Sus scrofa: one gene and its partners. The protein of the gene in region 1 interacts with the protein of each later gene in a pairwise test. Links are inferred from orthologs where the notes say so. Each region holds a gene or a part of one and is shown in the gene's direction. Other genes may lie near its edges. The genes, in order: LMNA, IFFO1, SYCE1, BNIP3L and FAM161A.

Region 1 (6,117 bases):
GGGCAGATGTAAGCAAATCAAAGCCAAGGATGCCCTCTCCTGGCAGTTTGAGGGATGGCAGAGCCAGGCCCCAGAGCCAACCTCCCAGGAAGTGGCTCCTCTCCCTTCCTGGGGGACTTGGCTCTCTTTAGGGGCATAGACTCTTTCCCCTAAACCCCCTCTTCCTTGGCTTCTTTAGCAATACCAAGAAGGAGGGAGACTTGATGGCCGCCCAGGCCCGGCTCAAGGACCTGGAGGCTCTGCTCAACTCCAAGGAGGCAGCACTGAGCACCGCTCTCAGCGAGAAGCGCACGCTGGAAGGCGAGCTGCATGACCTGCGAGGACAAGTGGCCAAGGTGGGGCCCACCTGCCCCCTGTCCCCCTGCCCCCAAACAAATACACACTCTTCCACCCCAGGTGCTCTCAGGAGGTACCTGGTCTGATCTGTCACATGGCCTTGGAGCCATTCACGTGTCCTAGAATTGTTGTACCCATCCAGACCATATTGCACCTCCTTTGCTGCCCATGTCCAGCAGCGTGAATTTAGAAGGATCCGTAGGAATTCCCATCGTAGCTCAGTGGTTAACGGATCTGACTAGGAACCATGAGGTTGCGGGTTCAATCCCTGGCCCCGCTCAGTGGGTTAAGGATCCGGCATTGCCGTGAGCTGTGGTGTAAGTTGCAGACTTGGCTTGGGTCCTGTGTTGCTGTGGCTGTGGCGTAGGCCGGCAGCAGCAGCTCTGATTAGACCCCTAGTCTGGGAACCTCCATATGCCATGGGTGCGACCCTAAAAGACAAAAAGACAAAAAAAAAAAAAAAAGGAAAGAAAAAAAATCCATAAACCATTTCCATTTAACTTCGCAATGAATTGTGCCTGGCCCTGGATCCCTCCTGGTCTGGCCCTGCTGTAGAGAGCTGTGATCTCTTTGGAAGATGGGAGAAGAATATAGACCATCCACAGAGCCCTGGTTGTAGGAAGCTGATGGTTAATCACATATAGATGCATGTTCTTCTTCTTCTTTTTTTTTTTTTTTTTGCTTTTTAGGGTCACACTCGCAGCATATGGAAGTTCCCAGGCTACACCACAGCCACAGCAACGTGGGATCCAAGCCGCATCCGTGACCTACACCACAGCTCACGGCAATGCCAGATCCTTAACCCACTGAGCAAGGCCAGGGATTGAGCTCGAATCCTCATGGATACCAGTCGTGTTTGTTACCACTGAACCATGACGGGAACTCCTTTTATGTTTTTTAAGATTCATGTTCTTAGTGGTTGGCATGTATATCATGTGTATGCAATGGTCTTTACTTTCAAAACACTTTGCTATCTATCCTTTCTCTTACGTTACAAGCTAGGGAACAGAATCAAAGAAGCTGGCTTGTTCCCAATCTCACTGCCTCATCTGCCCAGAGCAGGGCCAGGACTAGAGTTAGTCCAAGGGTCAGGTCCTGGGCTCTCTACCCCGACGAAGGCCCTGCCACCACAGTAAACTGAGGAGTGACCAGGAAATGCCAGCAGGTTGACTACAAAACCAAGACTGGGCCATCTTTCTCCCAGGTCTCTGCCCTGCCCTGCAGCCCCTCCCAGCTGCACTGCCCAGCTCATGTTTGTTAAGATGAAGATCTAAGAAAAGTGCTCCCAGAATTCCCTTGTGGCACAGCAGGTTAAAGATCTGGTGTTGTCACTGCATCGGCTTGGGTCACTGCTGTGGTGTAGGTTTGATCCCTGGCCCAGGAACTTCCACATGCTGCAAGCGTGGCCAAACAAACAAAACAAAACAAACAAAATAAGAAAGGAGCTCCCCTGCTCAAACTTTAGAGGCTCTTTTTGTGGCAGATAAGGGCTCGCCTCTCCATGATCCAGCCCCTGCCTTCCAGCCCGGCCACCTCTGCCATCATGCTGCCCCTGCTCCGCCCTGTCACTCAGACTTCAGCAGTACTGAGGCTTCTGAAGATCCTGAAGTGCACGTGTGTGCCTTCATGCCTCAGTGCCTTTGCACTTGCTCCTGTCTGCCCCAGCAGTCACGGCGGTGTTCCTCTCCAGGCCCCGATAACCTTGTCCTTCAGATCTGAGCCTCTTACAGGCCTTCCCACCCCAGACACATACTTCCTTCCTGTTCCTTCTCTACTCTGAACATGCTTCCTTTATAGCAATTGCTAGGTTGTGCCAAACAGAGGAGGCAATTTTTTTTTTTTTTTTTTGTCTTAATGGCCATACAGAGACATATGGAAGTTCCCGGGCCAGGGATCAAGCCGAGCCACAGCTGCAATCTTCATCAGTTACAGCATTGCAGATCCTTACCTCCCTGCACTGCTGCACCACAGCAGGAACGCCAGTCTTTTTTTTTTTGTCTTTCTTAGCACTGTACCTACCCAGAGTCGTTCCTGCCAGGGAGTGGATCGCCTTGCCTCTGGGGGCACCCAAGGCTCTCACTCCCCTGGACCTGTTTGTGCACATAGAGAGGGATGTGTTGGATGCTCCCCATTCCTCAGCTTCCTTCCAGCTCCGATGTCCTGTGAGCCCTCTCCCTGACCTCTGGCTCCTTCCTCTCTGCCCCCTTCCTCTCAGCTCGAGGCAGCCCTGGGTGAGGCCAAGAAACAACTTCAGGATGAGATGCTGCGCCGAGTGGATGCCGAGAACAGGCTGCAGACCCTGAAGGAGGAGCTGGACTTCCAGAAGAACATTTACAGCGAGGTGGGGACTGTGCCCTGAGACCGGAGGACAGACGTCAGAGCTGGGGCTGGGACATTGGCTGTGTGCAGAGCTCCCCTGCCTGACTCCCTTGTACTAGTGGATGGGGAGTTGGGTCTGGGGGGACGGGGAGTGGCCAGCCCTCAGGTTAAAGGGGGGCTCACAGTGGCTCCATTCGCGGTTAGGATTGGGTCGGGAGCTCAGCCACCTGCCTGGGTCCCATCCTCAGAGGACTAGTTCTGATTTTGGTTTCTGGGTCCAACCCTTCCAGGAGCTTCGGGAGACCAAGCGCCGCCATGAGACGCGGCTGGTGGAGATTGATAATGGGAAGCAGCGCGAGTTTGAGAGCCGGCTGGCAGATGCCCTGCAGGAGCTGCGGGCCCAGCACGAGGACCAGGTGGAACAGTACAAGAAGGAGCTGGAGAAGACCTATTCTGCCAAGGTGCTCGCTCTCCTGTGGCTCCCTCGCTGCCTCTGACCCTGGCACCCCTCCCCCCACCTCTGCCACCCTGATACGTCCCTTGCGGGATCGGGTGGATGATAGCAGGAGCCCCGGGTGCCCAGGACCTGAGGCTGCAGCAGAGATGCCGTTCCCAGGTCCCTTCCGGCCCCTGCATCCCTAACCCCGCGTCTTCCCCTCCAGCTGGATAACGCCAGGCAGTCGGCCGAGAGGAACAGCAACCTGGTGGGGGCCGCCCACGAGGAGCTGCAGCAGTCCCGCATCCGCATCGACAGCCTCTCGGCCCAGCTCAGCCAGCTCCAGAAGCAGGTGATGCCCCCACCTCACCCCCTCCTCCAACAGTCTGGGCAGGACATGGGGTGGGGGTCCTGAGGGCAAGAGGGTGCAGGACAGGACATGCCTCCAGGACCCCAGGCTAAGTAAGAAGCCTAGGGTTTGGAGTCAGATGACCTGTTTGCTGTTCCAGGACTTTCTCTTATCTAAGCTGAAAGACCTTCCTTCTCAGAGCCTTGGTTTTCCCCTTTGAATATGCAGATCATTCGTATCGTCCCTAGAGATCTGCCTCAAGACTCAGTCGGAGGTGTCGAAAGCATCAATAGTCTAGCTGGCTGTGCCATTTGTGGCAGGAGGAAATAGATTCAAGCCTCAGATTAAGAGATTTCAGTTGGACTTTGAGAAGGACTGCCCGGTGGCCAGCCAGCCGAGGCCTCATCAAAGTCCATGAAAGGCTCTGATGAGAGCTGAGGATCCTGGCGAGGCAGCTGGGTGTCCCCTACCCCTTACCTCTCCCCATTTGGGGCCTCTGGGAGCTCACCAGACCCCTGCCTCCCTCTCCCAGCTGGCAGCCAAGGAGGCCAAGCTGCGGGACCTGGAGGACTCGCTGGCCCGTGAGCGTGACACCAGCCGGCGGCTGCTGGCCGACAAGGAGCGGGAGATGGCGGAGATGCGGGCAAGGATGCAGCAGCAGCTGGACGAGTACCAGGAGCTGCTGGACATCAAGCTGGCCCTGGACATGGAGATCCACGCCTACCGCAAGCTCCTGGAGGGCGAGGAGGAGAGGTAGGCTGCGGGGGAGTCCAGGAGGTGCTGGCAACCGCCTCCAGCCTGCCACTGGCCTTGATGAGGCTCCCCTCCCTGTCTCCCCCTCTGCAGGCTACGCCTGTCCCCCAGCCCGACCTCGCAGCGCAGCCGCGGCCGGGCCTCTTCCCACTCGTCCCAGACGCAGAGTGGGGGCAGCGTCACCAAAAAGCGCAAGCTGGAGTCCAGTGAGAGCCGCAGCAGCTTCTCCCAGCACGCTCGCACCAGCGGCCGTGTGGCCGTGGAGGAGGTGGACGAGGAGGGCAAGTTCGTGCGCCTGCGCAACAAGTCCAATGAGGTAGGCCCCCAGGTGGGGTCTGAGAACACAGCGGGCTTTGGGAGAAACCCCAAAAGTGAAGGGATGGCGTTTGAGGGCAGGGCCATCCCTCTCATCAGAGACAGACCAGCGCGTGTGCGTGTACCTCTCCTCCACACTCAGGCTCCAGTCCTGGCGCCGGGGCTCATCAGTGGCCCTGAGACCTTAGGCAAGCATCAGTTTCCTCATCTACAAAGAGTCCCGAACTCTTTGAGTTCTTGGGAAGATGAAAGCTCAGAGTGCGTCTAGCCCAGCATGCGTGCCCGTAGGTGGCCACTGTCATCCTTGAAGGGGAGAGCGGTGAGGGGCGGTGGATGAGAGGGAGAGACCTCTGCCTGAGGCCTGCCTGGGCCCTTGAGTGGGAGGATCCCAAGAGCCCGAATGAGCCTCCCCCGCCTTCGGCTTCCCTCCCTGGCAGGACCAGTCCATGGGCAACTGGCAGATCAAGCGCCAGAATGGAGATGATCCCTTGCTGACCTACCGCTTCCCTCCAAAGTTCACTCTGAAGGCCGGGCAGGTGGTGACGGTGAGTGGCAGGGTGTTTGGGACGCGGGGGTGGCTGTGGGTAGGGATGGGTTGGCCCAAGGATGGGAGTGCTAGAGTGAGAACCCTTCTCTAATTCTCCCTCACCAGATCTGGGCTGCGGGAGCGGGGGCCACCCACAGCCCCCCAGCCGACTTGGTGTGGAAGTCGCAGAACACCTGGGGCTGCGGAAACAGCCTGCGCACGGCTCTCATCAACTCCACTGGGGAAGTGAGTATGCTGGCCTCTCGCTGGCCAGGGCTCCCCGGATGAGACGGCCAAGGTTGGAGCCAGCTTGCCCCCAACTCAAGGGAGCCAATTCAGGGCCACTTGCCCCCAGCTCTCCTGTGCAGTCGCAGGCCCCAGACCCTCTCAGTGGGCAAACCCAAAGAAGCCTCCCCCAGCAGTAGGAGCGGGGAGGTTGGACAGGGAGGGTCCTTAAAGGCAGACCGTGCTCCTACCCAGAGGGCTTAGCAGTGGCCCTCTGGGGCACAAACAAGTTCCTCAGCTCCAGTGCCACAGAGGAAGGACAGAGTAAGCCACAGGTTGGACAAAGGGCAGACCACGAGGAGGTTCTTAGGGGGTCCCTGGGGTGGGGCTGCTGTGCAGCCCCCCTCCCTCAGGGCTCTGAGCCCCTAACCCCCGGGTGGGATCTTGTGTCCCCGGCAGGAGGTGGCCATGCGCAAGCTGGTGCGCTCGGTGACCATGATTGAGGACGACGAGGATGAGGATGGAGATGACCTGCTCCATCACCACCACGTGAGTGGCAGCCGCCGCTGAGGCCGAGCCTGAGCCCACCCTGGGGCACCCAGCCAGGCCTGGGGACCGCCTCTCCCCGGCCACCCCGTGCCAAAAATCTTTTCATTAAAGAATGTTTTGGAACTTCACTCGCTGCCCTGGCTTTTCTTCTCTCTCCTCCCTGTACCGTGAACGGGGAACCCAGGTGTCTGGGTGCCCTACTCTGGTAAGGAAGGGAGTGGGAACTTCCTGATGCCACGGAGTCTTCCCTTGGGAGCAGCGGGCAAGGCTCTGGATTTGTCTCCTGGGACGGGCACGGGAGGACAGATG
Region 2 (4,936 bases), on another chromosome or scaffold:
ACCCACCGTCCCTTCCTTTCCTCAGTGAGTCTGTTCCAAGGTGCCAGGCCTGGCTCAGATCCCTTAGCGAAAGCCCCTGCGGGCAGAGGTGCCTGGGGAAACGAGGAGCAGTGGTGAAGCGGTGCCTCCTGCCCTGAGCTGGTTTGGTTTTAAATCTGAGCCCTACCCCACGGCTGCCTGCACCCCTGCCCTGGGTGCCCTCGGCAGGTCAGCCTCCTGGGGGCGGGGGCTCTACTGACCCGGCGGCCCTGCCCCCAAACCCCACCACAGCTGGAGTTGGCCACGGCCAAGAACGACATGAACCGGCACCTGCACGAGTACATGGAGATGTGCAGCATGAAGCGGGGCCTGGACGTGCAGATGGAGACCTGCCGCCGGCTTATCACCCAGTCTGGGGACCGGTAAGCACACCCCCCCCCGCCCCGAGTGTGGGCCCCTCTCGGACGACGAGCCCTGAGACCCTCCAGCAGTGACTTAGGCACTTGTCACGAGGCTGCCCTTTGAAGGTTGCCTCGTTTGTCTGGCCCAGGCTGGCAGCTTTTACTCCCTCAGCAGTTGGATACTTAGGTCCACTCACGGCTGCGCAGCCCAAACCTCCCGATGCCGCCAAGGCTGGTGGTTCCCCCACTCAGAAAGGCAGTTCTCGCTGTGGCATGGTGGGTTAAGGACCTGGCATTGCCACAGCTGTGGCGTAGGTCACAGCTACGGCTCAGATTCGATCCCTGGCCCCAGAAACGTTCATGTGCTTCCGGTGCCACCCGCTGCCCCTGCACCCCTTAAGGGCAGCTAAGAAGTCCCCCGGTGGCTCGGTGGGTTAAAGATACGGTGTTGTCACTGCTGTGGCTCTGGTTACAGCTGTGGTGCAAGTTTGATCCCTGGCCCGGGAACTTCTGCATGCCATGAGTGCCACTGAAAAAAATAAGAAAAGCAGCTAAATTCTGACAAAGAGTGCAAGGGGGTGGGGGCAAAATTTTATCTAAAGTTAGAGCCACAATTTGTGCCTTTGACTCTGTGTAAGCTTTGAAAAAAATCGTAAAACTAGGAGTTCCTGCTGTGGTGCAGTGGGTTAGGAACCTGACTGCGGCGGCTCAGGGGGCTGCAGAGGTATGGGTTTGATCCCTGGCGGCACAGAGGGGTAAACGATCTGGTGTTGGCACAGGTGTGGCATGGTTCAGTCCCTGGCCTGGGAACTCCCATATGCTGCACTTGCAGCCATGAAATTAAAAATAAATAAATAAATAAATCACAAACCCGCTATAGATAAGCATGGAGTGGGGGCCACAGAGCCAGGGCACTCAGCCGGCCCCTCTTAACTGTGACTTCACATCTTTCTGAACTCAGCCTCTATTCAGCCTCTCCTGGTCCCCAAGTTAAAAGTGGGAACTGTTCCCCCCATCGGGGTGGAGTGGGCAAGGTTTCCTCTTCCCTCCCTGCCGGCCTTGCCCTGCATCCGCATCCGCCCTTGTCCTGTAGTCCTCCTGCCCCGCCTAAGATGTTATTCACCTGCCTGCCAGGAATAAGGCCAAGGGTGCAGGATGCCAGCTTGTCAGGATTCTTGCATGCCTGGAGGAGGTTACAACTGGTGTTTTTTTCTAGAAAGTCTCCTGCTTTCACTGCGGTCCCGCTTAGCGACCCGCCGCCACCGCCAAGCGAGGCTGAGGACTCCGATCGCGATGTCTCATCTGACAGCTCCATGAGATAGGGACCTCGCGCAGCGGGGCCCTGCTGGGACTCACCGAGCCTGGCCCCTGGGACCGGGCGCTCCCCCGGCTTCCTCCCCTGGTCCTCGGCCTCTCTAGGGTCCTGGGGTGCCTGGAGTGAGGCTCAGCCCGCCCTTCCCGGGCGACTCCCTGCACAGCCGGCTGTCCTCCTTCATGCGTGGGTGTCCGCTACTTTCCCATCTTTAAAATGCTGCCAGAGTGCTCGCGACCCTCACCCCGTCCTCTGAGTAAGGAGTGTGATTGTCGGCTCTTCCTTCCACCCCGGTGGTCTTGAGCCAGCGGACCGTCCTGATTCTGTTCTGGTGCTCACTGGCCCAGGTGCTGGTACGGCCTGAGCAGCGGGAGAGGGCGTCCCTCTGTGTCGCAGGGGCAGGGAACAGGACTGGGCGGCTCTCTGCCCATGGACAGTGGAGTGACGCGGCCATGACCCTTCCCTCGTGGAAGTGCCACGCGTCTAGGCGGCCTCTGGGGCCGATGGGGTGCAGTAGCATGAGGGGACAGGAGCTCCTGCAGTCTCCCAGTCACTGCCGAGGGACGGAGAAAGGTGCACGTGAGCGTGTGTGGGCGCATGTGTGCTCCTGTGCTCAGGGGTCTGTTTCTTCAAGCATCAGCCGAAGATGCGCCTCCTCCTCCTCCTCCTCCTCGTCTGACACACGCCGAGTGAGAAGGTGGCCCAGACTCAGAAAAGCTTGGAGAAAAATGGGGAGACGTGACTGAGGGTACCTCGGCCTTGCTGGCTGAGGCAGGCTGTGCTGAACTGACGTTTGAGTGGAATCTAATCCTAATGAAACTGGCGAGTATTTATTGAACGCTTTGGTGTCACTGTTTCCAGCAACTTTTCGGTGGTGGCTCTGGTCCCTGTTGTGTGGTGTGCACTGGTGATCATTGCACAGACACACAGGGTTACAAGCAACTTGCCCAAAGTAATGGCACCTCAAGTAGCAGAACCAGGGCCTCCATCCAGGTTGTCAGTGCTGTCTCTGCTTCTTCCCACTAAGCCTGTGCGCATTCGCAGGTGACAGAAGACATGGAAATAAAACCACCCCAACCTTTCCCTTGGGCTAACCTACTGTAACTTCTCTGAACAATCTCTGAGCTGGCACTGGCACAGCTGTACCACAGATGGCAATCTCTTGGGCACTGAGGCTCACAGCTGTGACAGGGCAGAGCTGGAATCCACTCCTGGCAGTCAGGCCGTAGCCAAATGGACTTCCTGTGCCAGTGCCCCCCTCCAGGGAGCTGCAGACAGAATGGTGTCTTGGGTGCAAGCAGCCAGGCCATTCCTGGGTTCAGCCACGGCAGTCTGGAGCTGTAGCACCCAGAGGCCTCACTAAGGCAACACGAGGACAGGTGGCTCTTCAGAGGAGCCCAGGGTGGAGTTTCCTCAGCAAGCTCTAGTTCTCCTTGGCCCCAGCCCGGCTTCCCTCCTCTTTATCCCAGGCTCTAGAGTGAGAACGACAGGAGGCTGGGTACAGTGTACTTTATTGATGGTACATGACGAGGCAGGTCTCCCTAAGCCCCTCCCCTTCTTCCGGGGGTCTGGGATGGAAACTGGAAGTCAGGAGATGCTCGGTGTGTTGGGGGATCGAGTTGGGGCTGTGACTCCCCAGCAGCTGAGGGCCTCTCTCCTCCTCGCGTGCTCTTGCTGGGGTTGGTGGTCCAGGGGCTCTTACTCCTTGGAGGCCATGTGGACCATGAGGTCCACCACCCTGTTGCTGTAGCCAAATTCATTGTCGTACCTGAAAGGAGAGCAAGAGTTAAGTGTGGTTTTCCCGAGCAGCCACCAGGGGGCACCAGACTTGATCACATTCTGAAGCATCATCCCTCCCCACCCGCCACATCCCCCAGCACCCTACCAGGAAATGAGCTTGACGAAGTGGTCGTTGAGGGCAATGCCAGCCCCAGCATCAAAAGTGGAAGAGTGAGTGTCACTGTTGAAGTCACAGGACACAACCTGGGGAAGGAAGAGGGCCAATTACGGAACCCAGTCTTGGTCAGTGGGGTCGTGTGGACACCAAGTTCCCTGACCTATCAGTACCTGGTCCTCAGTGTAGCCCAGGATGCCCTTGAGGGGGCCCTCGGACGCCTGCTTCACCACCTTCTTGATGTCATCATATTTTGCCTGATGAGGTAAAAACCGATGGTTATTCAAGTACCAATCCTACAACCCCTCAGCCCCCCAAAGCTGTTCCAACCCAAACCTACAGGTTTCTCCAGGCGGCAGGTCAGATCCACAACCGACACGTTGGGGGTGGGGACACGGAAGGCCATGCCAGTGAGCTTCCTGGGGACACGAGGAAGCAAGCAGAGTCAGCACCACCCCTGCTGGTGCCCCAGACACCCAGGGCAGGAGAGCAGCAAAGAGCCTCACCCGTTGAGCTCAGGGATGACCTTGCCCACAGCCTTGGCAGCGCCGGTAGAAGCAGGGATGATGTTCTGGGCAGCCCCTCGGCCATCACGCCACAGCTTCCCAGACGGGCCATCCACAGTCTTCTGGGTGGCAGTGATGGCATGGACCGTGGTCTGGAGACAAGGAGGGGGAGTGAAGGCCCTGCCTAGCGCTTGTGACGCCTCCTCTGGGAAGAACTAAGGGACACAGTGCTTGGAACCACCCCACCCTACCCCTCCTCTGATGTCCTGAGCCCCTACAGCTCCGGGCTGAGCTCTGGGAGGGGAAGGATCCAGTCCTGGGTGAGGACAGAACGTGCTCTGGCTCAGTCCCCATCACCTACCATGAGTCCCTCCACGATGCCGAAGTGGTCATGGATGACCTTGGCCAGGGGTGCCAAGCAGTTGGTGGTGCAGGAGGCATTGCTGAAACGAGGGAGGCAAGTCAACGGGCAGGTCCACGGGGTCCCGCGCAGCATGACCCCCCCCGCCCCCTCCACCAAGCTCACCTGACGATCTTGAGGGAGTTGTCATACTTCTCATGGTTCACGCCCATCACAAACATGGGGGCATCGGCAGAAGGGGCAGAGATGATGACCCTCTTGGCCCCACCCTTCAAGTGAGCCTGCAGCAGAGGAGCAGTCAGACACCCGGGCTTCCCCTTTCCTGGTCCAAGTCAGCCTCCCCCAGTCTCCCCGCTACACCAACCCCGCGGTTAGGTCCCCTCCTCTTTCGGTTCCCTGCCGCTCACCCCGGCCTTCTCCATGGTCGTGAAGACACCAGTGGACTCCACAACATACGTAGCACCAGCATCACCCCATTTGATG
Region 3 (6,117 bases), on another chromosome or scaffold:
TGCCATCTGCTGTTTACAGTGACTTCTGACTCCTTGTTTCCAGTTTTTAATATTTTAATACCTTTTTTTCTTTCATTATTACATCCTGCGCTTTGACCAAGCCTTGAACAGTATCTGTAGTAAGCATGCACTCCTTCCCTTGCCCTGAGTTTTAGTAAGTGGAAATCTGTGGTGTCATTTCATCCTTAAGGAAAAGCTGACCATGACCCGATTCATCCCTTGTGCAGTGTCCACTTAAGGTCAAGGAGCAGAAGCACCACTTTGGCTGGAAACCTGCCCTCAACCCACCTCAGTTCCAGCCCAAGGTTGTCAGATCTTCCCTCAGGCTTCTCACACCTATATGATTCTTAAATGTTTGGTTTTTGTCTCCACAGGGCAGGCCAAGTCCTCACAAAAAATAGAAGACTTGATGGAAATGGTGAAGAAGTTGCAGAAAGGTCACGTCTCCTCTGTAACTAAGGCTCAGCCTGAGGTTTGGGTTCAGGCAGAAGTAGAATCAATTCTAAGCCCCCATATTCACAAACTTGGGAAATGAAGTCATTTGCTTTCTCTTACTTTTAAACCTTAATTTTCTGAGTTAAAAATATGACCCATGATTCAAAGTTAAAGTGTAATGCAATAAAATGCAAAACATTGTCCTAACACTCCCCTTACTCACCATCCATTTGGCTCCCACTGCGATTTGCTGAAAACAGTTTTTCACCTTTACCTCCCTTCCCTCCACCTCACATCTGCTCCTCTGTGCTTCCTTACCAGACACCTCCCAGCCATGTTCCTACCTCAAGGCAGGCCTTTGCACTGTCTCACACCCACCCAGCGAACTTCAAGGCCTACCCCACCCTACTTGATTTGGGGCTCTCAAGAGGTCTTGCCATATCTGAAGAAGCGTGTCCTGCTCCTTTACTTTTTAATCCATTACCTATTTCTCTTGACCGCAGTTACCACAATCTGACTTTGTCTCTCTCTGTTCCTGTCTCCCCTACCCAAGATGTAAGCCCTTGGAGGGGCATCCACCTCCCTCTGTCTGTCCTGTCATAGTCACTCAACCTCCTTTTCTCCCTGCAGCGGGAAGCCTAGAGCCCAAGGTTGAGGTCCTGATTAACCGGATTAATGAGGTTCAGCAAGGTGAGCTCAGGACCTTGCCTTGTCAACCAGGATAAGTTATGTGATTTGCAGGACTCAGTGTAAAGTGAAAATGCGGTGCCCCTAGTTCAAAATATACAAAGTGTTTTGAAAGAGCAGAGCATTAAATGAGGCATGGGTTGGTCCATCTAAATACTAACTGCTATAGTCATGTTTATTAACCTGGCCCTGCTGCCACCTGAACCTAACAGGAAGGGCTTAGGCTCCTGGAAGCCCCATTTCCTGCTCTGTAAAGCCTGAGCCCCTTTAGGTTTACTTGAAGACAAATGTGAAATATTTGCAAGGAAAAGACACTTAAATAATGTTTTACTCTTTGGCACAGCAAAAAAGAAAGCCAGTGAAGAGCTGGGAGAGGCCCGGACTGTCTGGGAGACCCTGCAAAAGGAACTTGACTCATGTAAGCTTGTCACCGGTCACCCAGAGGTCCACACAATGTCATGCAGCTTTGAACACAGTATTCCAGATGTCTGCGTTCTTGGCTGTGACCAAGGGCTCCTGCCCTTCAACCTCAGATCCTTCTAATCCCTGCTCCTCCCACTGTGTTGGTGGGAAGGTTCCTGAAAAACTCTGTAAGCATGCCTCTACCTCAGGGCCTTGGCTAGACAGTCCCCCCAGATACCACCACTTCCTGTTGCCTCACATCATCCTCAGCTCTCAGCTCAAGTATGCTCAGAGAGGCCTTCCCCAGTTACCTAAAAACAGCACCCTGTCCCTGCCTGGGCACGTGCCACTTACTGCTTGATGTTATTTCTTCACAGTCCTTGTCCCACTTCATGTGATGTGTTTCTTATTTTTTCTCTCCCTTTCATGTAAACACACTGGCATCCCACAAAGTCATCACAGACACCCTTTATCACCTTCAGGACTCTAGTGCTTATAGCGAGTGTCAGCACAAGAGAGGAGAGGGTCACCTTGGGGGTCCACATTTGGGGTCAGGGGTAAGCCTGTATGAAACTGCCCATGTGACCGTGCGCAGGCCTGGTCCCCAGGGGTGCAGTGAATGGTCCCTGATGCCTGAACATGTTACTTTTTCCAGTGAGTGGAGAGAAAGTACGCCTGAAAGAGATCTTGAGCAAAAAGCAAGGTAATTATAGCTGTTCTGTCTTCATGTTTTTGCCTTTTCCAACCTGTATAAGCCTACTCTCTATAGTGATAGAAGCCTTTTGAAACCTGAATCACCTTGCACCCCTCCTGTGGATTCCACCACAGTAAATGACAGTCCCATACGGTGTCCACATGACCTGGCCCTTTTACCTCTGCCCAAACCTCATGCCTTGATGAGCTCTCATGGCCCCCTCACTTCCTCTCTCTGCAGAGACCCTGAGGATCCTCCGGCTCCACTGCCAGGAGAAGGAAAGTGAGGCACAGAGGTAAGAGCCTCTACCTGGGCCCTGCTCCAAGCTACCCCTTCATTCTGGTAGAGAAAGTAAGTGAAATCAGTTTTAGACCCACAGCTCTCATCTTCTCCCTCTGTAAAATGGAGAGGCCAAATAAGGGTCTTTCCATCTTGGCTGCAACAGCGGGCAGTAGTGTTAAGAATACCCTCTCACTCACCCACCTGGAATAAGCACTCATTTGCTAGAATGTTAAATTCCTTCAGCTGGTTTTTATTCTGTACCTTTGATACTTTCCACAGCAGCTGTTTGTTCGCTTATCTGTCCCTTCATTTAAGGCATCAAGCCAGCCATCTCTCCATCCATTATCCTTCCATCCACCCAACTATTTGTGCATTGATCTCTACCTCCTCAATGCTTATTTTGCTCATCTTGTGACCAGAAGCCCCAAGCCCCTAGCATACCAAGATTGAAACTGTTAGAGAAATTCACATGAGGTTAACCTGTGTGATTGTGCATTTGACCAGACCCACACTGATCTCTCTAATCTTCACAATGACATTTCCTGGGGGCATGTGCTCATGTCCCCCTACAAAGTTACAGAGATGGACCTCAATCTAGAAGGCTAGAACAGACCTCAAGAGAAGGATGCAGAAGCCCTACCCCAACCCCTGAATGTAGGGAGACATTCAGAGAACATGATGAAGGGCTGCGCTGACTCTTGCCAGGAAGCAAACCATGCTGCAGGAATGCAAGGAGCGAATTTCTGCCCTGAATTCCCAGATCGAGGAAGAAAAGAACAAACAGAGGAAGCTGAGGTAAAGCCCATCACCTGAAGCCTGATGGGCTGGGCTGGGTTGTCAGTGGGAGTTATACCAGCAATGGAGGTTAGAAGAGTAGCTGGCCGAGCTGAAGCTTGGAGGGTCAAAGTGGAGAAGGTGTTCCCAGCAGCATGAAGAGCATGGGTGAGCTCCCCCTGGTCTGTGCATGAAGGCCCTAGCTGTGCAAGGTTGGGGAGGGGTGTCTCTCAGCCCACGGCCCCTCATCCTATGTGCTTGATCTCCAGGTTGGATTTTGAAGAACAGCTGGAGGATCTGATGGGCCAGCATAAGGACCTCTGGGAATTCCATGTGAGTCACTCAGCCACTCCTTCAACCTTCCGCATCTCCCCCGGCAGCACCAGGCCCCAAACCAATGGAATTCTCCAGGCCTCCTTCCTCTGTACTTCCACACCTAGTTCCGTACAAACCCTGGCAGCTGTGCAGCACCCTCATTGCCACCTGCTGCTGACCTCTTCACCAGACCTGCCCACCCATCCCTGATGCTCTCCAAGTATCCTTAAGTGGTCATGAGGAACCCCGATGAACCAAGGAGGGCTCACCCAAAAATGAGATCCATATATGTATTTGGGGCCATCACAGACACAGGGCAGGCATCTGGGGATCCCAAACAAGAAAATAGGCAGAGAAAATGACTGTCCAGATGGAAGAGCTCAGTGAGGTCACATGATGGTAAGAGGAGGAGCTGCATTACTGGGTGGTAACTTACTCTCAAAAGAAAAACCTTGATTTGTACTGTTTGCAGGATCTCCTGTAGTAAATACTCATTCTAGGGCCGATTTCAAACCTTGTTTAATTCCTGAATACTCATGACCTCATGAGCCTCTCCAGCATAGCACAGCACCCTAGGTATCTGGAGTGAAAGCTCTAGGCAGAGGGAATGGCCAGTGCAAAGGCCCTGAAGCTGGACTGTGCCTGGCATACATGGAGGGCCAAAGTAGTAGGAAGTAAGGAAGACCAGATCTTGGTCAGCTTCACTGCAGCACATGGGAGATGTGGACAGGCCATCTTTCTACCCCTCAGAAGCCAGAGCAACTGGCCCTGGAAATTGATGCCCTGGACAGCAACAAGGAACAGTTGCTCAAGGAAGGTGAGGCCTGGAGAAGGGATGCCCAGATCAACTCTGCGCTGCCCTGCCCTGCCCTACCCTGCCCATCTGTTCCTTCCTGCTACAGAGAAGTTGGTGGAGGCAAAGCTGGAGGATGTGAAGCATCGTCTGTGTTCCCAGTTTGGAGCCAAGGGCTGCTCAACCATCACTGAGGGGCTCTTCCTCCGCAGCCAGGAGGCAGCAGCTGTGGTGTAAGGCAGAGATGGAGAGGGTGGGATGGGGTAGAGAAAGGGAGCTGCTAGCACTGATGGCCCCATCTTCAGGCATCTGTTTGAAGAGGAGAACAGGAAGGCCCAGGAGCTCCTGGGGGCTGCTGCCCAGCGCCAGGAGCAGCTACAACAAAAGTGCCAGCAGCTACAGCAGAAGAAGCAGAGGTGGGCACAGGGCCCCTCCTTGCAATCCTCACTGGGAAGGTAGCTGAGGGAGTCTCCTCCCTCTCAGACTCTGTCTCTTGGTCTCTTCACAATCCTACCCTTCTCCTTCCCCAATCTCCTACCCTACCTCAGGCTGAAAGAAGAGCTGGAAAAGCTTGGGGTGCAGGTCCCTGCTCAAAGCCAGAGAAAGCAAGAGGAAGGAGCTAGCCCAGGAGAAGCTGTGAGCCCTGGAATCGGGTGCAGGGAGCAGAGACAGCTCATGAAAGGAGCTGGGGGTGGGAAGGCAAGGAGGGGGTCTGCAGAATCCTGAGAAGATGGTCTTCAGGGAAAGGCATTCTTACAGGGACACAGTCAAGACAAAGGTGCAGAGGCTGGCAGTGGTGGGGTGAGGTGGGGCAGATCCCAGGGAGGGTGTGAGCAAAGGAATGTGAGGGGATTTCAACCTCAGACCTTGACCTCCCACAGGCTAATCCTAAGACCCTTGGAGTCAGTGAGGAGAAAGACCCAGAGCTGCCCATCAAGCAGGGCCTAATGTCTTCCTAGGCAAGAAGGACCCACCATACACTGGCGCTTATACCCTGGGCTTCAGGAAATAAAGGCACCACTTCAGTACAACTGCCTCAGCTGAGTCTGTGCTAGGTGGGGGATTGTCTGTCCCAAGACCTCTGGGCCACATTCTGCCTCTTGGCCTCAGCCAGAGTCCCACAGCAAGCACTCAATAAATGCTTCCCTAAGCTTACAGTCTCTGGGTCTGCTCATCTCTAGGACTTGACATGATCAAGGACCCCCAGGCACAGGGATGCAGGACTGAGACCTTCTCACAATAGGCCCAGGGGTTATGTAAACCAGAACCTCAGCCTGTCAGTTCCATGCCCACAGTCCCCATTGATTAGCTGAGAAAAAGAAATGTAACTGGATCCTAAATGTAGTTTGTACCTTCATGGGCACAAACTCTATACCTGAGACACTGTTACAAAAGCAGAGTATGTCAGAAATCCTCAGTGTCCTGGGAGTCAGTCACCTTGGACTATTGTGTGCTTATCAAATCCACTGGAATCCATCAATCCAAGCAGGGGCAATGATGGGAGTCAAAGTCTGTGCTTTTGGGTTAACAGACAGTGGATTCAGTTACAAAGAAATTCCTTCTCTTAAAAGGCTCCCCCATTCAGGTAGAACAGTGACATAGCAGGACAGACAGAAACTTCAACAGCCCTCATTTCTGTGTGTGTGTCCATTTCTTTACCTGATCATGGAACTACAGCTGGTATTTATAACGACCTTCACCTTCTTCCAACATACTTTCTGTATCTACTTTGCCT
Region 4 (6,647 bases), on another chromosome or scaffold:
TTTCAAATACTCATAAAACATTCCTAAAAAAGGAATTACATATTAGGTTTCAAAGAAAACCTAAGAAAAAAATCTCCAGGAGTTCCCGTTGTGGCGCAGTGGTTAATGAATCCGACTAGGAACCATGAAGTTGCAGGTTCGATTCCTGCCCTTGCTCAGTGGGTTAACCATCTGGCGTTGCCATGAGCTGCGGTGTAGGTCGCAGATCCCAAGTTGCTGTGGCTCTGGCATAGGCTGGCAGCTACAGCTCCAATTCGACCCCTGGCCTGGGAACCTCCATATGCCTCTGGAGCAGCCCAAGAAATGGCAAAAAGACAAAAAAACAAAACAAAAACAAAAACAAAAACTCCAAACTTGAAATAGTACAAAAATATACTCTAACCAGGGAAAAATTCTCAAACACCTAAATAAAAAAAAAATGAAATAAGCATCAGATATAAGTAGTTAGGAAAGAGGAAACATAACAACTAATGAGCACAGGGTTTCTTTTTGGGGTGACAAAAGTTCAAAATTAGATTAACGGCTGCACAACTTTGTGAATATAACAAAAACATTGAACTGTGAACTCTAAATGGATTAATTGTAAGGTATGTGAAGTATATCTCAATTAATCTGATAAAAAAGGCTTTAAGAATAATACAGTTTGGAAGAAGGAATTAGAGGGAGTTCCCATTGTGGCACAGTGGAAACAAACCCAACTAGTGTCCATGAGGATGCAGGTTCAATCTGTGGCCTTGCTCAGTGGGTTAGGGATCCAACGTTGCCGTGAACTGTGGTGTAGGTCGCAAATGTGGCTCGGATCCCAAGTTGTTCTAGCTGTGGCATTGGCCAGGAGCTACAGTTCCAATTCAACCCCTAGCCTGAGAACTTCCATATGCTGTGGGTTTGGCCCTAAAATGCAAAAAAAAAAAAAAAAGAGAGAGAGAGAGAGAGAAAGAGAGAGAGAAGGAATTAGATTATAAAAAGTCAATAAAACAGATATAAACCATTACCTAACATAATCCTGAGAAAAGAGAGGACATATAACACAATATAAGGAATAAAGGTAACATCCTACAGAAACAGAGCTAACCCCTCCCCCTAGAAAAAGCACTAGGTCTGGATGTTTCCTTAAGAGAAAAAAAAGTAATTTCAATTTTATCTATTTAAACCATAGAAAATGAAACTTTCTCATTAAAAAAAAATGAGTATAAAAAGATGAAGAAATGTTTACGACCTTTTTGAAGCACACCCTTTTTCTCTTTAGGGCTGCACTCAAAGCATATGGAGGTTCCCAGGCTAGGGGTCCAATCTGAGCTGTAGCCACTGACCTACACTACAGCTCACAGCAACTCTGGATCCATAACCCACTGAGTGAGAGCCAGGGATGGAACCTGCATCCTCATGGATGTTATTTGGGTTCTGTTAACTGCTGAGCCATGACGGGAACTCCTTGAAGAACATCTTTTTAAAAAATTCATGAACCCATCTACAAAACAGAAACAGAGTCACAGACTAGAGAACAGCCTTGTGGTCGCCAAGGTGAGGGAGGGGGAAGGAGAAGGATGAACTGGGAGTTTGGGGTTAGTAGATGCAAACTATTACCCTTGGAATGGAAAAGCAATGAGGTCCTACTGTTACAGCACAGGGAACTATATCCAATCTCCTGGGACAGACTATGATGGAAAAGAACATAAAAAAGAATGTACTTATATGTACAACCGAGTCACTTTTCTGACAGCAGAAACTGGCACAACGTTGTAAATCAACTATACTTTAATACAAACATTTTAAAAAACTTAGGATAGAATAAGGAGGGATATCAGCCTGAATGGTATACAACTTTGTAAATATGTCGATTATCTCCCCAAAGTTCATCTGAAGAGTAATTAGTCATGAAAAAATTTTTAAAGACAAAAAAGGAGGTCCTTTCTCTAATATTTATCTGATAGAGCTACTGTAGAGAAACCTGAAATGGACTCATTTAGAATTTGATAGAGGTGCCATTTTGGTGTGAAAAGGATGACTCAAAAATTAATATTGTTGGGTCAATTGGGAACAACTGAAGTTAAGCAATTCACAACACATAAAAATAAATTTCAGATGGATTAAGGGTATAAATACAAAAATTAAACCTATAAGAAAATTATAAAAATATATAGGGACTGGATTCAGTATCTTGCTGTGAGGGTGTTCCCAAGGCATATGAAAATAATAGATGTGATTGCCTGAAAATTTTAACTTCTGAGGAATGAAACAGGGTTAAAGGACAAGCGATAGGCTGAGATAAATGCCACACATAAATGAGACCAAGGAAACGACAAGTCATGGAGATACGAAGCAGGGCGAGTGTTCTGGAACATAGTTTACTGTCACTCACGTATAAGAAACATGGCTTCCCATGTTATGTCCTAGAAATTGTTAAGTGATGGAATGTGGATGATTGTTTTCTTCTCTATGTTTTCCTGAACTTTTCCATCTTTTTAAAACAAAGATTGCGTGGGGTCTGTAATGAAAAATTTTTGCATTATTTAACAACTAGAAAGTCTGGCCTGCCTTTATTGTTCCCTGCCTGGAGTGTCAATGTTCCACCAGCTTTATTTTAGGTTTACGACGGGGAGGCACCAGGGCTTCTTTTGCTTTCTTTGTGTCAGCACAATACCTATTACTGACTGAGTCCTTACAGATATTAAAAAAGAAATGCTCACAGATTGGATAAAACAATGTTGATACTGTAGGTGTGGGAGATTTGGGCGCCAGCGCCTGAGCGCCTTGCACTTCCTCATGACACACTTGTGCCCATCCTCTATCCTGGTTCCAGCCGCATACCTCACTCCATCCGGCCAATACAAATGACATGCAAGAATTCATTCCTGGCGCGGGCGTCACCGTGACTCGCGCGTCTCCAAGTCCGTGGCTCTCCTGGGCACGCCTGCGCCCCGCCCCGTCGCCAGTTGTGTTGTCATCACGTGGCTGGGGCGGGCCCTGACGTCAGGGGCGGGGGAGGGACTGCGCAGGCGCAGAAAAGGGGGCGGGGGACTCGGCTTGTTGTGTTGCTGCCGGAGAACCAGAGACGGTACTGCTGCGGTCGCAGCTCTTCCAGCCGCCTGACAATGTCTCACTTAGTAGAGCAGCCGCCTCCTCTGCACAACAACAACAACAACTGTGAGGAAGGTGAACAGTCTCTGCCCCCGCCAGCCGGCCTCAACAGTAAGTGCTGGCCCGGCGGGCTCGGTAAAGGGGATGGGGGAGGAGGAGCTGCTCGGGCCGCCGCCGCCAGCTCCGCGCTGGGGGCGGGAAAAGAAGGCAGCCCATTGGTCGAGGTCGAGGATGTGCGGGTGATTGACAGCTCCCATCACCCGTCAGGAGGAGTTGCTCTTATCTTCCTCCTGACCTCTCTCTTTTCCCTTCTGAGTTCTTGGGTGATGGGCTGTTGGGTTCGCCTTTGGGAAGGGTAGGTGGGTGGGAAGATCAGGGGGTCGAGCCGATCGCACCTGTGGTGAGCCCCTGAGTGCAGCCAATCGGGGCGTGGAGGGGCGGGCCTTGGGGCGCGGGGAGGGAGGGTGGGCGGAGCGGGCCGCCTAGGGGACGTGGGCAGGGATGGGGACGTGCGACGGGGACGCCGGGGGATGGACGCAGGCGCCGGTTTTAGGGGAGGGGGCGACCGAGGGACTGGCGGGTGGTCCAGTGTGCAGCGGAGCTTGGGCCAGGCCCGGTGACCACCCCTCACTGGGTCGGCCTTCCCTCCAGGGCTCGGAACGTGAGCCCTCTTGTTGCGTCCCTTTGTTAGCACAGACTGGTTAGGAAAATTATTTGGTAATTTAGTGGTTACTTGTATCACGTGAGGGGGGGTGAGGAAGCTATGATACTTTTTTTTTGAGAGGTTTCAGAGTTGCTCAAGTAATTTTTTTTTTTTTAAACGATGAGGTTATTTGCCCTGTAAACCTGATTATGAACAGCTCTTGAACCATCCAAGATCGCACAAATCACAGTGACTGGGGCAATGAATTTCGTACACCGGGGCAGTTGAAAGTTAAGGGCAGTATCGAATTACGACCAACTACAGTTGCTTTTCCTAACATCCTGGTGCTTAGACATCACGTCCTAAGGTTATTTCCAGTTGTCTTTAAAGCTGGCTGCAAGTCTTGGAAAGGTTCTTGCCTAACCTTCCTGTAATTCATCTCCTGGAAGAGGTGGTTGGGACAGTTAGCATATGGCCAGATGAAGTCGTTTAAAAATCATTTGGATGCTTAAATGACATTCAAAGGCACTTAAGTATCTTTCATCCTAGGGAGGTGTTTCAGCATGGCCTAAAAATTTTAGGGAAGCGAGTTCCTGTCCTCACAAGATGGGGATAGAATTTGAGTATTTTCAAGATGTTTTCATTCCTTATTGCTGCTGCTCCTTCTGATGGATAATTCCTTAAATGTTGACTTTTAAAAACTTTTTGAAGTGTTCTAGAACGTAAGGTTTATATATTAATTCCTACAGTAAATTAGGGTTAATGTTTGTGTCTTTAAACATTACTTGCTTCAAATATGAATATGCATTTTAACATTACTTACCAGTTTTTAGCCTCCTCTTTTAGAAGGATGTGGTTTTAGGATGAGAAGAAACTTTAGAGGTAACTGTCTACTCTTATTTACTGGTAGAGAAAGAGGCCTAGAGTAAAGTGTGTTGTCCATGTTCACAGCAGGTTATGTCCTAAAGTGGAGGTTTTACTTTCACCCCGTCTGGCATTCCTTTCAGGACACATCTTTTCAGGGGCCCACTATCCCCTGATTATGTGTGTTTCTTATTCTCTGTTACCCTACCTGTTATTTAGAGGTAGCCTGCTGATCTGTCTCTTTTTAGTACACTGTTTCCTAATTGTATTCCAGTTTTCCTATGATACAAGTTGGTTATTTGGTTAATATGTATACACAATTTCACAGAAAGTGAAGGGATTTTTATTTTCTTTTGATCATGTGACAGGAAAATGGGGATGAGCTATATGGGATGGTTTTTCTCCATGTCCTGACAGACCTATGTTTGATGTCCTTGGCCAATCAGTTGCTGCTCCATTTGTATTCAGTCTTACAGAAGTGGAAGAACACTCAGCCTGTGTGTGCTATCAAAATGTTGCACATTTTGGGAAGTCTGCTACATAGAAAGTATTTTATTTAAGCTAGGGTGAGCTGCTTTTCAATGTTACTGAAAAGCTTTTAGATAGTGCCATATTTCATTACTTTCCTCATGCCTTTTACTGTTTTTTTAGCTCATTATACAACACTAGACTGAACAAAAACAAGCCTTATTGATTCCTTCAAGTGATTTTGGGCACTGAGCAGAACAACTTATTCAGGCATCTAATACTATCCAAATTGCTGATAAGTTGAAGTTCTTTGTTGGGTAAAGTTGCACAACTCTGAAAAAAAACAGGAGATGAACTCATTGTACAGATTATCTCTGGCTTGGGATTTTATCTTTAGTGCAGGGGTCAAAGCAGAGTTTTAATAGCAAGTTATTGAAATATTTGGAATAATGAAAGCTTTCTTTGATTTTTTTAAAAAGTTTATCCTTGTAAGGGAACTGTTCACTTTCATTACAAATTAGTGGACAAATATCTGAACTACTTCCAAAATTAAAAGGACATTTTTCAGTTGATAGTTTTATTCTAGAGAAAACTATCAGGTCACTTACAAATATTTGTATTGGGAATTTATGTCATAAAATTCAGTAAGTAATATAAGGAAAATTATGGTAATAATTTGTGCATGTTGGAATTACAGCCCTTTTTTATCTTTTTAAGCATCTACTGTGTTGCACTTGCTTCCCCAGGATGGCAAGAAGGCTTTCAAGGCCATGACACATGAAATTTCAATGCCTTATGATATTGTTTTGAACACCTAAGTGGTGTATAAGCAGGTACTTGTGCAAGAAGGTCAACCTTTTTTGAGAAGAGTATTAGTGACTGTTCTCATTCCAGATTCCAGCATCAGGTACTTGAGATGAAATAAAGGTTTTGAGGAAAGAAGATAAGACGTAATGACATGTTTCACTCCCTAGTTAGGATGAGTTACATGTGGGACCTTGAAAACTTGGGGAGAGAGTGAGAAATACTTTTTCCTTTTCTCCCTTCCCCCCACTCCCCTTCATGCAAGAGGATTGAACTGGTGATTATAAAATTATAAAGCATGAATATGGCATACGGTTGTGAATGTAATCACCGTTACTGGACCAGCCTTCGTGATGAACCACAGGTGTGTTACAGAATGTAGGCACGTGCTCTGAATCCTCTTAGCAACTCTCAGTCTTAACCAGAAAATATCTCATGTTTTGTGTCTATATGCAACCTGGCCTAAGAGAATTGTTTTTAGTTTGTAAATAGTCTTTTGATATAATCGAGTTTCTGGTTTTTAATTTTAAAGCATGATTATTAGGAAGAAAATTCACTCTGCGATTTTTCTCTACTCTGCATTGCTTGGACAGCACAGTCCTCATATTTTGCCGTCTTTCCTTTCCAAAGAAAAACGGACTTTGGAGGATTGGTAGAATTAGAACATCAAGAAATTCTGAGGCTATAAATCAGGAATGAAGTAAGTGATGAGAAAAAGGCATGTGGAGTTCATCTATTGAGAAAGACCAGTTTGCTTTTTTCCCCATTTACTCAAAAGATAAAGCTCATT
Region 5 (6,117 bases), on another chromosome or scaffold:
TGGGGCCCGCGCAGCAGGAGCCCAGCTGGGGGAGGTTGCTCGGTTTGCAGCAGGAGAAACTGTGTTCCCCTTCATCTCAGGTAAACCTACACTCAGAAGGAGCCTCTATGAAGGGTGGGTTGGGAGTTCCCGCTGTGGCACAGAGGGATCAGAGGCATCTCTGCAGCACTGGGATGGATCCCTGGTTGGCACAGAGAGGTAAGGATCTGGTCTCACTGCAGCCGTGGAATGGTGGCTTATATCTGATTCCTGGCCCCAGAACTTCCATATGCCTTGGGGTGGTCAAGAAAGAAAAGAGAAAGAGGAGTTCCCGTCGTGGCACAGTGGTTAACAAATCCAACTAGGAACCATGAGGTTTCGGGTTCGATCCCTGGCCTTGCTCAGTGGGTTAAGGATCTGGCATTGCCGTGAGCTGTGGTGTAGGTTGCAGAAGCAGCTCGGATCCCGCGTTGCTGTGGCTCTGGCGTAGGCCAGCGGCTACAGCTCCGATTCGATGCCTATCCTGGGAACCTCCATATGCCACAGGAGCAGCCCTAGAAAAGGCAAAATGACCAAAAAAAAAAAAAAAAAAAAAAAAAGAGAAAGAAAGAAAAAGATTTAGTTTTATACTTTCACAGTGTATGGGTTAGTACATGATCTGGGAATCTAACCATCCTTTATAAAATAAATGAAATAGCATTTATTTTTGGGCAACTTGGTATCTCTCATTCTGAATAAAATGTCATTAAGAGAAAATGTATCTAGCTACAAGTAGCTTATAATCCATTATGTACAGAGTCCACATGTAACATATAACCTGATTAAGGGGACTTTTAAAATTTAAAACAGCCTTGGGGGAGTTCCTGTTGTGGCTCAGTGGGTAACGAACCCAACTAGTATCCAGGAGGATGTGGGTTCCATCCTTGGCCTTGCTCATTGGGTTAAAGATCTGATGTTGCCTTGAGCCATGGTATAGGCTGCAGATAAAGCTCAGATCCTTCATTGCTGTCACTGTGGCATAGGCCAGCAGCTACAGCTCTGATTTGACCCCTTGCCTGGGAACTTTCATATGCTGCAGGTGCAGCCCTAAAAAAAAATAAAAATAAAAAAGCAGCATTGGGAATCAGTGTCAGCTTAATTTGGTTTTCAATTCCAGACATCATATAACATTTTTTTTCCTCCTACCAGGCTGATTTTAACACCGACGTTTCTGGGGTGAGTGAACAAAAACAGGATTTTGTGAACTTTTCTGATATTTACTACTCTAATGAAGAGTATTTCAGGAAACTAGAAGAGCTGAAGGCTGCCCACATGGAAACTATGGCCAAGTTAGAGAAAATGTACCAGAATAAACTAAATTTAAAGGAAGTTCAGCCAGTGGTCACCAGGGAAGAAGCTGCTAGTGTCTCTTCTAAGTAAGTTTGTACATAATGTTATTTGTGGAATGTAAAATAAAATGTGTACCTAAAAGTGCAGAACAAAATTATTTCAGAATATTTTCTCACAAATATTCCCCACATCCCCACTCCCCCTTTCTTGGCTTCTCAGCAGCATATGTAGTTCCTGGGCCAGGGGACAGATCCAGGCTGCAGTTTTGACCTAAGCTGCATCTGCAGCATGGCTTGATCCTTAACCCACTGTGCCAGGATGGGTATCGAACATGTGTCCCAGCACTCCCAAAACACCACCAATGCCATTGTGTCACAATGGGAACTCCGCAAATATCCCTTTTAAAAAAAATTTTTTTAAATTCTTTTTTGGCAACACCGTGACATGTGGAAGTTCCCAGGCCAGGGATTAAACCTGTGCCACAGCAGCAACCCAAGCCACAGCTGTGATAATGCTGGATCCTTAAGCCACAGAAGCACAAGGGAACTCCATCCCTTTGTGTTTTTAGTGATATACAGAAGTAGAATTTTATTCAGGTTGTTTGCTGGCCTATCGACCTACTAGGTGGCTTCTTGCTTTGAGGGTCATTTAGTGGCCATTTGGTCCTTCCTCTCTGACCCACCACTTTTAAGACTTTATCAGAAATATTTAGTCTGGGCCATTTTCAAATGATGAGTATTAAAATTTAATTTTAAAAGCTCTTTATAGTTAACATGAGCTTATTAAAGATAGAGTATGAATTGTTCAGGACTAAGGAATAAATCTGGGAGTTCCCACCATGGCCTAGTGGTTAATGAATCTGACTAGGAACCATAGGTTGTGGGTTCAAATCCATGGCCTCAATTAGTGGGTTAAGGATCTGGCATTGCCATGAGCTGTGGTGTAGGTTGTAGATGCTGCTCGGATCCCGAGTTGCTCTGGCTGTGGTGTAGGCCAACAGCTGTAGCTCCAATTAGACCTCTAGCCCAAGAACCTCCATATGCTGCAGGTGCAGCCCTAGAAAAGACAGAGAGAGAAAAAAGAAATCTTGATTTAAGTTTTCAAAAAATAGTAATTTTTGCCGTAAACTTGCTTCTTTTGAAACTCGAGGCAAGTCCCTTAACTCATCCACTTGGTTGGTGCTAATTTGCATCTCCCATGTGCCAGACTGTGCCTGGGCACTGAGGAGTCAAAATTAAAGTGCCCTCAAGGAAGTCCAAGACTAGCTGAAATCCAGAAATACAACACAGTGTAGCAGAGTGTTAGAGACAGAGGAAGAAGCTGTTGATTATGTCAAGATGTCAGTGGAGGGATGCAGGTACTTGAAGTGTCCTGTGTTCAATCTTAAAGGGGAAATGGCTGAAGCAGATGTAGGAAGCAAGGAATGGCATTCTAGGCAACAGAGCCATGTGTGCAAAAGCACTGGTGCCACAGAAAACTGTGTGAGGAACTTCCCATGATTAGATCTGACTTAAGAGTGGCGACAGGGGAGGGAGAGGCAAGATGTGAAACTAGAAAGGTAGACAAGGGCTAGTCCTCAAGGGCTTTATAATCTAGACTTTGTAACAACAAATTGTAGAAAAGTTTCTGGAAGGGGCATAAGGTGGTCAGATGTGTGTTTTATGATAGTGACTCTGGAAGATGTGTGGAGAATTCAGTAGCGGTTGGATACAAGGCACCTCTGCCGTCTCAGCTTCCTCCCCTGTAAATGACAAAGTCCAATTAGATTGTTTATAAGGGAGTTCCCGTCGTGGCACAGTGGTTAATGAATCCGACTAGGAACCATGAGGTTGCGGGTTCGGTCCCTGCCCTTGCTCAGTGGGTTAACGATCCGGCGTTGCCGTGAGCTGTGGTGTAGGTTGCAGACGAGGCTCGGATCCCGCGTTGCTATGGCTCTGGCGTAGGCCAGTGGCTACAGCTCCGATTCGACCCCTAGCCTGGGAACCTCCATATGCCACGAGAGCGGCCCAAAGAAATAGCAAAAAAAGCCAAAAAAAAAAGATTGTTTATAAGCATCTCGCAGTCTTTCTTCTAAAAAAAAAGCGATAATTTTCACAAGCCCTAACCAGCTCCTATTTTCTAACTTTTTTTTTTTTTTGGCCGCACCCTTGGCATGTGTAAGTCCCCAGGTCAGGGGTCAAACCCACGCCACAGCAGTGACCCAGGCCACTGCAGTGACAGCAGCTGATCCTTATCTTGCTGCACCACAAGAGAACTCCATCTAACTGATTTTATCTTGATCTTAGAAATTATGTAAATCTATTCTTTTTTTTTTTTAGAGCTGAACCTGCGGTATATGGAAATTTTCAGGGTAGTGGTCAAATTGGAGCTACAGCTGCGAACTACACCACAGCTCCTGGCAACACTGGATCCTTAACCCACGGAGCTAGACCAGGGGTTGAACCTGTGTCCTCATGGATGATAGATTAGTTTCTGCTGAGCTTCAGTGGAAACTCCCAGAAATTATGTAATTCTTTTTTTTTTTTTTTGTCTTTTTGCCTTTTCTAGGGCTGCTCCCACGGCACATGGAGGTTCCCAGGCTAGGGGTCTAATTGGAGCTGAGGCCGCCAGCCTACTCCACAGCCACAGCAACTCGGGATCCAAGCCTCGTTTTCAAACTACACCATAGCTCACAGCAACGCCAGATCCATAACCCACTGAGCAAGGCCAGGGATTGAACCTGCCATCTCATGGTTCCTAGTCGGATTCGCTAACCACTGAGCCATGACGGGAACTCTGGAACTATGTAATTCTTTTTTTTTTTTTTGGTCTTTTTGTCTTTTTGTTGTTGTTGTTGTTGTTGTTGTTGTTGTTGTTGCTATTTCTTGGGCCGCTCCCGCGGCATATGGAGGTTCCCAGGCTAGGGGTCGAATCGGAGCTGTAGCCACCGGCCTACGCCAGAGCCACAGCAACGCGGGATCCGAGCCGAGTCTGCAACCTACACCACAGGTCACGGCAACGCCGGATCGTTAACCCACTGAGCAAGAGCAGGGACCGAACCCGCAACCTCATGGTTCCTAGTCGGATTCGTTAACCACTGCGCCACGACGGGAACTCCGGAACTATGTAATTCTTAATTTTTATATTTAGTCACATGCAACTGAAAGAGTAACCTAATTACTCCTTTCACTTACTTAGGTCTGTATCAGAAAAGAGCTATTGTCCTGTCTCGTTAATGACATCGGTTTCAGAGCCTGATTTAGGTGAGTCTTCCTCCTTGGTTGTATATTCCTCTGAAGATGAGTCACCCAACTTAGAAAAGGAGTATTCTGAGAAAAGCAGAATGATGACCTATGCCAAGGAGCTCATCAACAACATGTGGACCAACTTCTCTGTTGAAGATTATATTCAGTTTGAAGATGCTGACTTGCCAGCACTTGAAAAAATAAAAAAGAAACCAAAAGAATGGGTTCCAAAGATCACAATACCTGAGCCTTTTCAAATGATGATTAGAGAGCAGAAGAAAAAGGAAGAGAACATGAAATCTAAGTCAGATGTTGAAATGGTACATAAACTGCTTAAAAAACAAGAAGAAGAATTAGAGTGTAAGAAAAAATTCCGAGCCAATCCAGTTCCTGCATTCGTTTTTCTTCCCCTTTATCATGATGTAGTCAAGCAAAATGAGGAACGGAGGAGGTCTATGAGGGAGAAATACAAAGAAGCTCTTTTGGCCTCACAAAGGCCGTTTAAGTTTATGGCAAGAGAGGAACAGAAGCAAGCAATTCGTGAAAAGCAGCTAAAAGACTTTTTTAAGTCTAAAAAGAAAACAAATCGATTCAAAGCCAGACCTGTCCCTCTATCTACTTATGGTTCAACTGTCAAAGACAAGTTAACAGAAGATGAGTTTTATAGAAACATTAGGACACAGCGGAGAGCCCAAGAGTTATTACAAAATTCATCCCCTCTGCCTTGCAGTCCAGCTCGCAGAAGTTTTGCTGCAAGGAAGCCCAGGTGTCCTGAACAGGCTGAAAGGTCAAAGTATAAACACAAAGTTAGGTGCCAGACTGCTGACTCTGAAGACCTTCCTGAGGGATATCAGAAATACCACTCGGAACAGAAATGTCCCAAACTCCTAACAGTCTGTGAACCGTCTGACCTTCATACAGCCTCACATGCCTCCACTAAAAGAGAGAAAATTCTGGCAGACATTGAAGCAGATGAAGAAAATTTAAAAGAAACACGTTGGCCTTATCTTTCTCCAAGGCACAAATCACCAGTAAGAAGTATGAATGCAAAGCCTGCATCTTGTAGCTACAACCCTCCAATGCCCACAGTGTCCTCTAGGGGAAGAGAGCAAGCCACAAGGTAAATAAGCGATGCGGTACTGATTCATGGTTGCTATTGCTTTTGTACGTGGAATTCGAAAATGTGAAGTTATTATATCTGGTAACATACTTTACTGTGTAATATAGAACATTTGCCAAAGGGTGTTCTTCTAAGAAGTGATATATTTTCCATTTTATGAATCTTTGGGAATAGAAATGGTTATAGTCAGCCTATTGATTTCTAATTTTACAAGTCAGATCCTTCTCAAAAGGTTGCCCCTTTTTTTCAACCTTTGAATTATCCTGTGTTAAATCTTTGCTAAACAACATTCTCATTGGCTTAAAGTGAATTAAGCCTTAGTTTGTTGCCCTCAGGAGATCACTTGAGGAAAAGAAAATGTTGGAAGAAGAGAGAAATCGGATCCTAACTAAGCAGAAGCAAAGAATGAAAGAATTGCAGAAACTTCTGACAACCCGGGCTAAGGCTTATGACTCACATCAAAGT

Evidence for each region.
Region 2: the proteins of LMNA (region 1) and IFFO1 interact in binary tests that used the Homo sapiens proteins (3 or more experiments, as listed by UniProt). The link is inferred for Sus scrofa from reciprocal best matches to the Homo sapiens genes LMNA and IFFO1.
Region 3: the proteins of LMNA (region 1) and SYCE1 interact in binary tests that used the Homo sapiens proteins (3 or more experiments, as listed by UniProt). The link is inferred for Sus scrofa from reciprocal best matches to the Homo sapiens genes LMNA and SYCE1.
Region 4: the proteins of LMNA (region 1) and BNIP3L interact in a two-hybrid assay, tested with the Homo sapiens proteins (2 studies listed by BioGRID and IntAct). The link is inferred for Sus scrofa from reciprocal best matches to the Homo sapiens genes LMNA and BNIP3L.
Region 5: the proteins of LMNA (region 1) and FAM161A interact in binary tests that used the Homo sapiens proteins (3 or more experiments, as listed by UniProt). The link is inferred for Sus scrofa from reciprocal best matches to the Homo sapiens genes LMNA and FAM161A.

Annotation. Positions count from the first base shown.
Region 1 is NC_010446.5:93,900,970-93,907,086, reverse strand, and holds part of LMNA (prelamin-A/C), read left to right. Parts: intron 1-178; coding exon 179-335; intron 336-2,551; coding exon 2,552-2,677; intron 2,678-2,945; coding exon 2,946-3,116; intron 3,117-3,317; coding exon 3,318-3,443; intron 3,444-3,972; coding exon 3,973-4,193; intron 4,194-4,286; coding exon 4,287-4,509; intron 4,510-4,945; coding exon 4,946-5,053; intron 5,054-5,160; coding exon 5,161-5,280; intron 5,281-5,718; coding exon 5,719-5,808; intron 5,809-6,117.
Region 2 is NC_010447.5:64,126,493-64,131,428, forward strand, and holds the end of IFFO1 (intermediate filament family orphan 1), read left to right. Parts: intron 1-270; coding exon 271-401; intron 402-1,596; coding exon 1,597-1,702; 3' UTR 1,703-3,340; downstream 3,341-4,936. Other genes in the region: GAPDH (glyceraldehyde-3-phosphate dehydrogenase), read right to left, coding at 3,391-3,460, 3,578-3,675, 3,760-3,843, 3,927-4,005, 4,093-4,244, 4,454-4,535, 4,619-4,734, 4,861-4,936. UniProt on the Homo sapiens protein: Nuclear matrix protein involved in the immobilization of broken DNA ends and the suppression of chromosome translocation during DNA double-strand breaks (DSBs).
Region 3 is NC_010456.5:141,726,433-141,732,549, reverse strand, and holds the end of SYCE1 (synaptonemal complex central element protein 1), read left to right. Parts: intron 1-374; coding exon 375-437; intron 438-1,065; coding exon 1,066-1,125; intron 1,126-1,465; coding exon 1,466-1,540; intron 1,541-2,179; coding exon 2,180-2,227; intron 2,228-2,458; coding exon 2,459-2,513; intron 2,514-3,205; coding exon 3,206-3,295; intron 3,296-3,543; coding exon 3,544-3,607; intron 3,608-4,339; coding exon 4,340-4,406; intron 4,407-4,491; coding exon 4,492-4,615; intron 4,616-4,687; coding exon 4,688-4,798; intron 4,799-4,930; coding exon 4,931-5,108; 3' UTR 5,109-5,149; downstream 5,150-6,117. UniProt on the Homo sapiens protein: Major component of the transverse central element of synaptonemal complexes (SCS), formed between homologous chromosomes during meiotic prophase. Requires SYCP1 in order to be incorporated into the central element.
Region 4 is NC_010456.5:10,315,702-10,322,348, forward strand, and holds the start of BNIP3L (BCL2/adenovirus E1B 19 kDa protein-interacting protein 3-like), read left to right. Parts: upstream 1-2,986; 5' UTR 2,987-3,092; coding exon 3,093-3,189; intron 3,190-6,647.
Region 5 is NC_010445.4:79,961,253-79,967,369, forward strand, and holds part of FAM161A (protein FAM161A), read left to right. Parts: exon of another isoform or gene 1-198; intron 199-1,167; coding exon 1,168-1,394; intron 1,395-2,967; exon of another isoform or gene 2,968-3,049; intron 3,050-4,485; coding exon 4,486-5,652; intron 5,653-5,987; coding exon 5,988-6,117. UniProt on the Homo sapiens protein: Involved in ciliogenesis.